Oryzias latipes: one gene and its partner. The protein of the gene in region 1 purifies or fractionates together with the protein of each later gene. This does not show direct contact. Links are inferred from orthologs where the notes say so. Each region holds a gene or a part of one and is shown on either strand. Other genes may lie near its edges.

Region 1 (3,819 bases):
AATGTGTCTCTCATAGTGCATTATGTAAAAGGTGCCAGCAGATGCTCTGTCTCAATCCACTCTTGTTTCTGTGGATGTGTATAGTCAAACCCTTAAACATATTGGGTAACACGTCTTTATAGAACATATTAAAGGGCCAATGTTCTTCCCTTGCAGGCATTACTTAAAGAAACATTGTCTGCTGGGAGTTTTGTGACACCTAAAACTGTCTTCAGCCTGCTTACTGTTGGTGCGTCGTCCCTTGTAGATTTTGGATTTGGAAACTTCTTTAAACAAGGAGAGCCTTTGGCTACATGGTGTGGCAGCCCGCCATACGCTGCTCCAGAGGTCTTTGAAGGACAACAGTATGAGGGCCCACAGCTGGACATCTGGGTAAGAGAATTTCTTTTAACCAAAACGACAGCTCCTTCACATTCTTGTGCTTAAATTCCCTTCTTTTAATGGGAGTGATCTACTGTTGGATCCATTTAAAAAAGCTATGTGAAGTCAATTAATGTAATTTAACATTTTATTGGCAAGATGAAGATGGAGCATCGGTCTTATGTGTGTCTTTACTGACGTGATCCTGAAAGAAAATAAAAACCTTGATGGTTTACAGGTTTTATGTTGAAAATAAAATAAAAAATGATTACCGGGTTATAATGATTAAGAGCTAAACAACCACGTGATACAAAGGTTAAGGCCAAAGACAAAAGCATCATGGGAAAAAAATCTCAATCTTTTTTAGAAGAGGCTCAGTAACATTAATATAATTAAGAGCAACCGGTGAATCTTTCATTCAGAAGGGTGTGCGTGGATGTGTGAAAAAATAATTGTCATCTCTGATTGGTCTATTGATTGCTGCTCCCTGTATGCATCTGTTTCCAGAGTATGGGGGTGGTGCTTTATGTGCTGGTGTGCGGGGCGTTGCCCTTTGACGGGCCCAGTCTGCCTGTCCTCCGACAGAGAGTCCTAGAAGGAAGGTTCCGCATCCCATACTTCATGACTGAAGGTGAGCGGACACAAGTTTAACTCGTCCAGAACTTTATTACAATCAAGGCAAAGTTTGTCTGGGTTTAGGCATCACATGTATTACCTGGAAGCCATACTCCTCTGCCTTCTTTTGTTTAAAGTGTAGCTAATCTGAGGGGAGGATTTGTGGTGAACTATGAGGAAAGTCCTGCAGAAGGGATGATGCTAAGAAATGGGTTATTGCGGAAAAGTCCAGTAATCGTTGGTTTGAGGTGAAAGATAGAGGTCAGGTTCCATGTCATTTGAAAAACAGTCTTTGATCAAATGGCAAGCATCGCCAGAAGTGCAGGTTTTTGCCAATTGAAATGTAACTTCTCAGTTTAACTACCTGACTTTCACATCACATTTTTACACATCACATTTTTTTTCCTTCTCTGAGGTTGTGTTGCAATGTCATTTCACAAAATGGGTGTTACTTAAATTCTACTTTTCAATATAGATTGATGTTGATGCATTAAAATGTCTAGTTTAGCTTTCAATTTTGATTTACTGTAGATTGGTAAAACTGACCTTTGTATTACTCATACAAATTACCTGCTGGCGTCTTAAGCTCTTTTCTAACTAACTAGTACAGGTAAGTCCAATATCAAATATTTTGTAAAACTTCCCTAAAAGTATCAATCTTTATAGTATGGCACCCTGGATTTACAGTCACATCTGTCAGTTTTTTTCTAAAAACACTGAAAGTTTTTGTGAATCATTGAGTTTTTTCATGTTAAATTATTTAAAAAAAAAAGGGCATGAGTCATCGTACATGTTTTTGACTTTGAGTCACTGTACTGTTGAATGTTTACTGGCACCGTCTATCATGGCTAAAGTAGTGAGCAGGTCGTTTGATCACACAGAACAGTATGCTTTAGGATGGTACAGCATTGGGCACTCTGTCAAAATAGCTGCGTTTACATGGACAAAAGTAATAGGAAAAAACGCCTGATCGTAACAAAAATTCGTCATGTAAACACGCCGCTCGGAATACTCTGCCCCGATCTGACTCATTCGGATCAAAATTTCTTTGCGATCGAGATAGGTGGGTTATGCTGATTGTTGATCCGATCGTTTTGCATGTAAACGGTTCATTCTGATCGTGCGTCGCTACTGCTCTGGTTTAACATCACGCATTGAAGAAGTTTCACTCCAGAGAAGGCTTTGGAGCACAAACAGGACCAACCGGCTGCTCTGCAGACGCCTTGTGTTAAGCACTCTTCACCCCTCACGAAGTGGGGTGCCGGGGAGGAGCGCTTCGTGCCCCCTGACGTCTGGACCCTGCGCGGTCCAGGCTCGGGTGCCGGTGGACCGAGCGAACCGTGTCTCTGCAGAACAGAACAGACGGACTTATAACTTTGTGTTTGAGGGGAGGGGAGGATGCTTTGTTACGTTTGTGCTATGTGTGGGAGGCTTCGGGCTGCGATCCGTCCCGCTGCTCTAGGTGAACGAGCTGCTGGACTCAGGAGAACAGTGTCTCCCGGTAGAAATGTGTCTCTGAGCAGAGCTCGGACTTCCAGCTCACACAGCGGCTTTGGGGCAGTGAGCTTTTCAAAGCAGAAATGTCGGTCAGTCCTTAGAAACCGTTCAAACAATCACGTGGATTTGTGTTTCCAGTCATGTCCTGACTAAATAAAGGCTGATGTTATTCCCACATATTTTCGTGCAGCCTAGATGCAGATTGTGGCATTTCCCGCATGGATTTTGTGTTCATCAAAGAAGGCTAATGTTGTTAGCGTGTTAGCTTTCTCTTAACCCTTCTTCCAGCTCCGTTCCACAATAAACAAAGCACTGACCAAACCGATTCAAAATAAAAGGATGAGCGGACATGCTCTTCATAATAACTATAACAATAATAAATGCACGTTTAGAAGATCATCTTGTATATTACTGAACTGCCAGATATCTATGTTTGTGGCAGCTCAGCTTGTTTACAGCGAGACTCATTTCCTCTTCCGGCGCACGTGCAAATTATTTATTCCAGACGAAAGTGTGGCCCATGTAGACGTTTTGTTTTAATCGGAAAAAGTTTTTCTGGGCCCATTTACACGGTTGAATTATAATCCGATCTTTGATCCGATCAAGATATTTTGCACATGTAACCGCGGCTACTGACTGCTAACATTTGCAGGGGTCATGTGTTACATGCAGGAGTGAGTCAGGTCATATGACTGTCTCAAAGCAGCCCCGCTGTTAGCAATTGTGCTAGCTTGCAGGCTGGAGATTAAATCCAGAGCACGAGCTGTTTATGTAATCTGGGGGACAAGGCAGCAAAGCCCTCCTGCAGGCTCTTCCAGGAGACCCTCTGTATGTCTCGTTGACTCCCACTGTCTATGAAATGTCTTCCTGTTTGTCTATTTGCTCCTCATGATCGAAGTCTCCGTAAGGGGGAGTGCTGGAATTCATGTCATTTCTTCTTCTTTTGTTCCGAGCCTTGAAACAATTAGGAGACGGGGAATGTGAGAGTGTAATGTCAGTTCTTGGCCTAGACTGACAATCCAACCCGCCTTTCCACCCTCACTCCTGCCCCTGTTCCCCCCCCCAAATGTGAAGAACAGAGTGTTCTCATTTCTTCTACTAGAAACAGACCTCATTTCCTCCCATTGCTCTCTCTGGTCAACTCTGTGGTGCAGGGAACAGACTAGCACCTCACTCTAAACTCTCACTAGAACATTTTAGTCCAGTGAATGCTGTGGTCAGGCACTGATCAATGACCTTTTCAGTTTTTTGCATACCTTTGCATGTCTCTTCTTTATTCAAAGCTTCATAGGGACTCAGGTTGTCTATGCATTCAGTCATGTTTTAATGGTTGCATTTGAAAACTTT
Region 2 (4,308 bases), on another chromosome or scaffold:
TGAAAATGTACTTTTTTTCCCCCCTTGACATTCACACTTTTGTTGCATACTGTATGATGTTTATGAATAAAAAAAAAATTAAAAAGAAAAAAGGACCCACAGTAAGAAATCACGTATAAAAAAAGAAAAATACAAAGCATATTCCTATTAATTAGAAACTTAAAAACATGGGGAGGAAAAAGTAAGAGCATCAGCAGATTGTATTTTTCAAATGGGTTCCAAGTTTTTAAACCTATAAATTCCTTTTGAGTTTTTAATTGATTCATCCTACTTTGCAATTTCACAAAGAAAATGGGTAAAAAGGTTTGTGATGGGTATATTTATATTTGAAAAATAATTAATAATTGTGGGGGGTTTCTGGGGGTAACGACTTCACCTTAAAAACAAATTCGATTTTGCAGATTTTGTGAACCACCTTCACATTTTTAGTAGAACCATCTGGAGGGGCAACAAAGCCAACATTACCAACAACAAAAATCTGACTTTTGAGACCAGAAAAATGTAGCTGTGTGGTCAAGGCTAAACCTTTTTTAGGTTTTAAATTTTTCTATTATATATTTTATTTAAAGTATTTAATTTGCTCAGCTAGCATATTATATTTTATACCATCAGACCAGTTCTAATTTTTAAAAACTTACTTTTTTCTGCTAATTTATCTTAAACTTTTAAACTTAGCTGTTAAATATCTTGCAGGTTAATTAAATGCAATCAAAGACGTTTTTGCAGTAAACTTAGTTTTTCTAATGTTAAGCATGAACATGCTAAAGTATAACGGAGCAGTAAAAGTATCAAACAGGTCAGTGTGACCATTGGTTTAATCCAGATGTCTGCTGACTGAAGCTCCAAAACGAATTTGGCTCTCTGGTTACAGAAAAATAAAACGTTTTTAATTTAAATAAGTAACTGTAAAGTAAAAAGAAAAAAAGCAAACTGACTTAAATGACCTCATACACAAACAGTTGAAGAACAGTACGCATTAACAGGTTGAACGAAAACGTTATGCCAGATTTTTGTGCGCCATGTACCACAGAAAATCAACTGGAGGTCAGTGAGCAAAACCAAAATTAAGGTGCACCGGATTATGAGGCCTCAGGGTGTCTTTTATTTTGAAAGGATGTCATGTCAACCTCTGTCAAAAGTTATAAACTATTTCATATTTTGAAAAATATATATTTTCTCTGTATGTTAATCTTTTTGTATGCAAAAAAAAATTATGTTTATCATAACAATAACATAAATACATATCGGTGTCCTATTTTTTCTAAACGATGAAGTCATATTTTTTGGTTCTGTTTAAGTATTAAAGGTTGCAGAGCCCTGCTTTTAGGCCTTTCTAATCTTTGACAAAACATCCGTCATGCGCGTGCACATTATAAAGAGGGTTTGGTTCACGTGCGGAAGAGACTCGAGGGGAGTTTGAAGAATTGACTTCTGGGATGCGGAGCAGCCGGCGGCAAGAGAGCGCGAGACACCAGCACCACCGCGGGGGAGTGAATGTTTCCAGGAGCAGCAAAGAGACGAGCGGGAACTCCGAACCGCGCAGTTTGACTTAAACACACACATTGTTCTGCTTTGCTCGGTGAACAGAGGCTGAGTGGAGGAGGGGGGGGAGGGAGGAAAAAAAAGTTAAGATCCCACGAATCAGCGCGTGGGAGTGGGAAGCAGGATCGTGACCAACTGACTGAGGCAAGCTCCACTGTCTGTCTCGCCATGGCAGGTAATTCGTCTGGACTGTGTTAAACGTTCTGAAAAAAAATGTTTTTTTTCATTGTTAAAACGTCGTTTCTTGGTCGTCTCTGCGTTCCGGGAGTCAGGTTTTATTCACCCACCAGTTCATTTCTGTTTTAGCTAACGATAGCTAGTTAGCCGAACTTGGCTAGTGCTAACCTAAGCTATTCACAGAACTCGACTGTCCTCGCGCAACAACAGAAACATTTGCCGGTTAAAGCTAGCTTACCAGTTACCGTTACAGCTGTTTTGCTGTTATCTACACAAATAGGTTGCATTACTAACCTGATAATGATATGCATGGCAGTTTAGCCAAATCTGTTAATAATTTTGTGGCACCGGCATGAAATAGTGTTAAGTTTTTGTAGCTAATGGCCGAGTATTTCGCTCGTACACGGAGGTTTTCTTTTGGTATACTTCTGTGCAAACCTCTTAATGGAATAACAACACACAAGGCTGCGAGTTATTAACCCAAACGTTAGGGCAAGCTCAAAGTAGCGCCACAGTTCTCAAACATGCATCGGCTAGCTTGGCAAGCCGTCATTGCTAGCTTTAGCGCAAACTTTGACATTGCTCACATGCAGGCTAGCAGGCGGGCCCACTGAGCTCTGAGGGAAATGTTCACGCAGTTTCTGCTTCAAAGGCTACAAGAGGCGCGGGATAACGACCATTTCATCTGTAGAGAATGCTCAGACTTTCTCTGCGATGTTTTTCATTCATTTGTTAGCTTTACTTTAGTAGCGAAGTATTGTGATTCCAGTGGGTGGGGGGGCCTCACCCCCCACCCCTATAGCAGACTTTGATTTTAAATTTGGTTTTAAAGGCATAGCAGAAACGTCAATCATGGAAAGTGTGGAATGCTTGCACGTCGTCCATTTTTTGAGTGACTCACATTTTTAGACAAATGCATTGCACAAGACTCCCCAATAAAACATTTGAGATATTTTGTTCCTCCAGTGAGTGTTTTGACTCTTTCTGGTGTGTATGCACAGAAATGATTGTACCTGCTTCCTTTGGGCTTGTTTATCCTACAAAATGTACTCTGTTAAAGTATGTGCTGCTACGTCAACCTGCTTTAAGGTGACTGTTGGAAACATTCGGTTTCAGTTTTGTAAGTGGCCACAATGATTGCAGTGCCAGAATTGTTCATGTATGTTGAGTTCCTCTTAAACCAGGCCTCAGCATGACCGCTGTTAACCAGCTACAAGACCTAAGATGAAGAGAACAGTCTAGCAGTTACTGACTGCACCCACTTTTATTGTAATTAAAAGATCATGTAGTTTTATAGCTGTGAGTTGACTCACTGGAACAGAACTGGTTTTGCAGGTGTAGACTGTCTCGAGTAATAGTGGTGTATCTTAATGTTTTAAGATATAGCTTATGTTATTTGCACATATTTATGTGGGACCAAACACAAAAAACTGATGGAAATTCATGTTGGCTGCATGTTTAGCGGACAGATGCACATTCCTGCATTACCGGCACAAATTTTAAGTACGGCCAAGTCTAAATGTTGTGGTTGGTCGCGTGTATTAACCTAATCCTAACCCTTCATCCGGGTCCGTGCAACCAAAGAAAAAGTCAGCTCTGGCTGCGTGTATTTTGAAAATTCTGTGTGAATGATCACTTTCTTAAAAAAGATGCTGCACAGTTTTCTACCTAAGTGGTGGTGCATGTGTGCACGTATGATCATTAAAATATTGCGGTAATGGTCAGTGGAATCATTGTTAGACCCTGGATCTCAGACAGGTCCCAACACTGATCTTTTCTGAAGTAATTCATGAATATTATTGAGCACAAGTTCTAACTGCTGCCACCAGGGAAGAGATGCAGGTCCTTCAGAGCCAGGACCAACAGACTTGAAAAAGTTTTTACCCATGCTCCATCAGGCTCCTTAATGATACTGTCAACACCCAGTCACCCTTTATGTATGGATTTGTACTTTTTTGGTTTTTAATATGATTTTCTTGCACTTTGGCATGTTGGCCACTTTCAATTCTGTCTTGCTCCTTGGCAGATGACAACGAAGTGTGTCATTCTTAAAAAGCATTTTTCACTAGGTTTAGAGCAATATTAAGTCAATAAAATCTTCTTCAGTTAAGTCATTCTGGTGTTTGAAGCAGACGGCAAGAAGAGTCACTGAAGATAATCCACTCATTTTTCTCTTCTCACAGCACCTGGAGGTGACATGCAGTGGTGCTTCTCTCAGGTGAAAGGAGCCATCGATGATGATGTCGCTGAAGGTACGAAGAACCATTTGAAATACAGTTTTGTTTAGAAAAATTAAAAATACAGGTATAACAATTTATTTTCAACAATTATTTGATTCATATCATTTGTAGTTGCGATACGAGTCATAGTGTATATTTGTTCAATTTAAATGATCCGATTTGATCAAGAATTAATGGCAAATTCATTCACATTGTCATAAAGTTGTTTTCAACATCAAAATAATAAAAAAGGAACACGATTAGAACATTCTACCACACTGAGTGGTCACATGTCTTTGCAGAACTCTGTTTCCACACGTTGGACTAGAATGATGGACTGATCATTTTTTGCTGCATCACATGTGTACTG

Evidence for each region.
Region 2: the proteins of sik2 (region 1) and serine/threonine-protein phosphatase 2A 55 kDa regulatory subunit B alpha isoform purify together in Homo sapiens (affinity purification with mass spectrometry; 3 studies listed by BioGRID and IntAct, with this or other methods). This does not show direct contact. The link is inferred for Oryzias latipes from reciprocal best matches to the Homo sapiens genes SIK2 and PPP2R2A.

The regions. Positions count from the first base shown.
Region 1 is NC_019871.2:15,495,124-15,498,942, reverse strand, and holds part of sik2 (serine/threonine-protein kinase SIK2), read left to right. Parts: intron 1-247; coding exon 248-372; intron 373-867; coding exon 868-991; intron 992-3,819. UniProt on the Homo sapiens protein: Serine/threonine-protein kinase that plays a role in many biological processes such as fatty acid oxidation, autophagy, immune response or glucose metabolism.
Region 2 is NC_019870.2:24,073,864-24,078,171, reverse strand, and holds the start of serine/threonine-protein phosphatase 2A 55 kDa regulatory subunit B alpha isoform, read left to right. Parts: upstream 1-1,405; 5' UTR 1,406-1,710; coding exon 1,711-1,717; intron 1,718-3,902; coding exon 3,903-3,971; intron 3,972-4,308. UniProt on the Homo sapiens protein: Substrate-recognition subunit of protein phosphatase 2A (PP2A) that plays a key role in cell cycle by controlling mitosis entry and exit. Involved in chromosome clustering during late mitosis by mediating dephosphorylation of MKI67.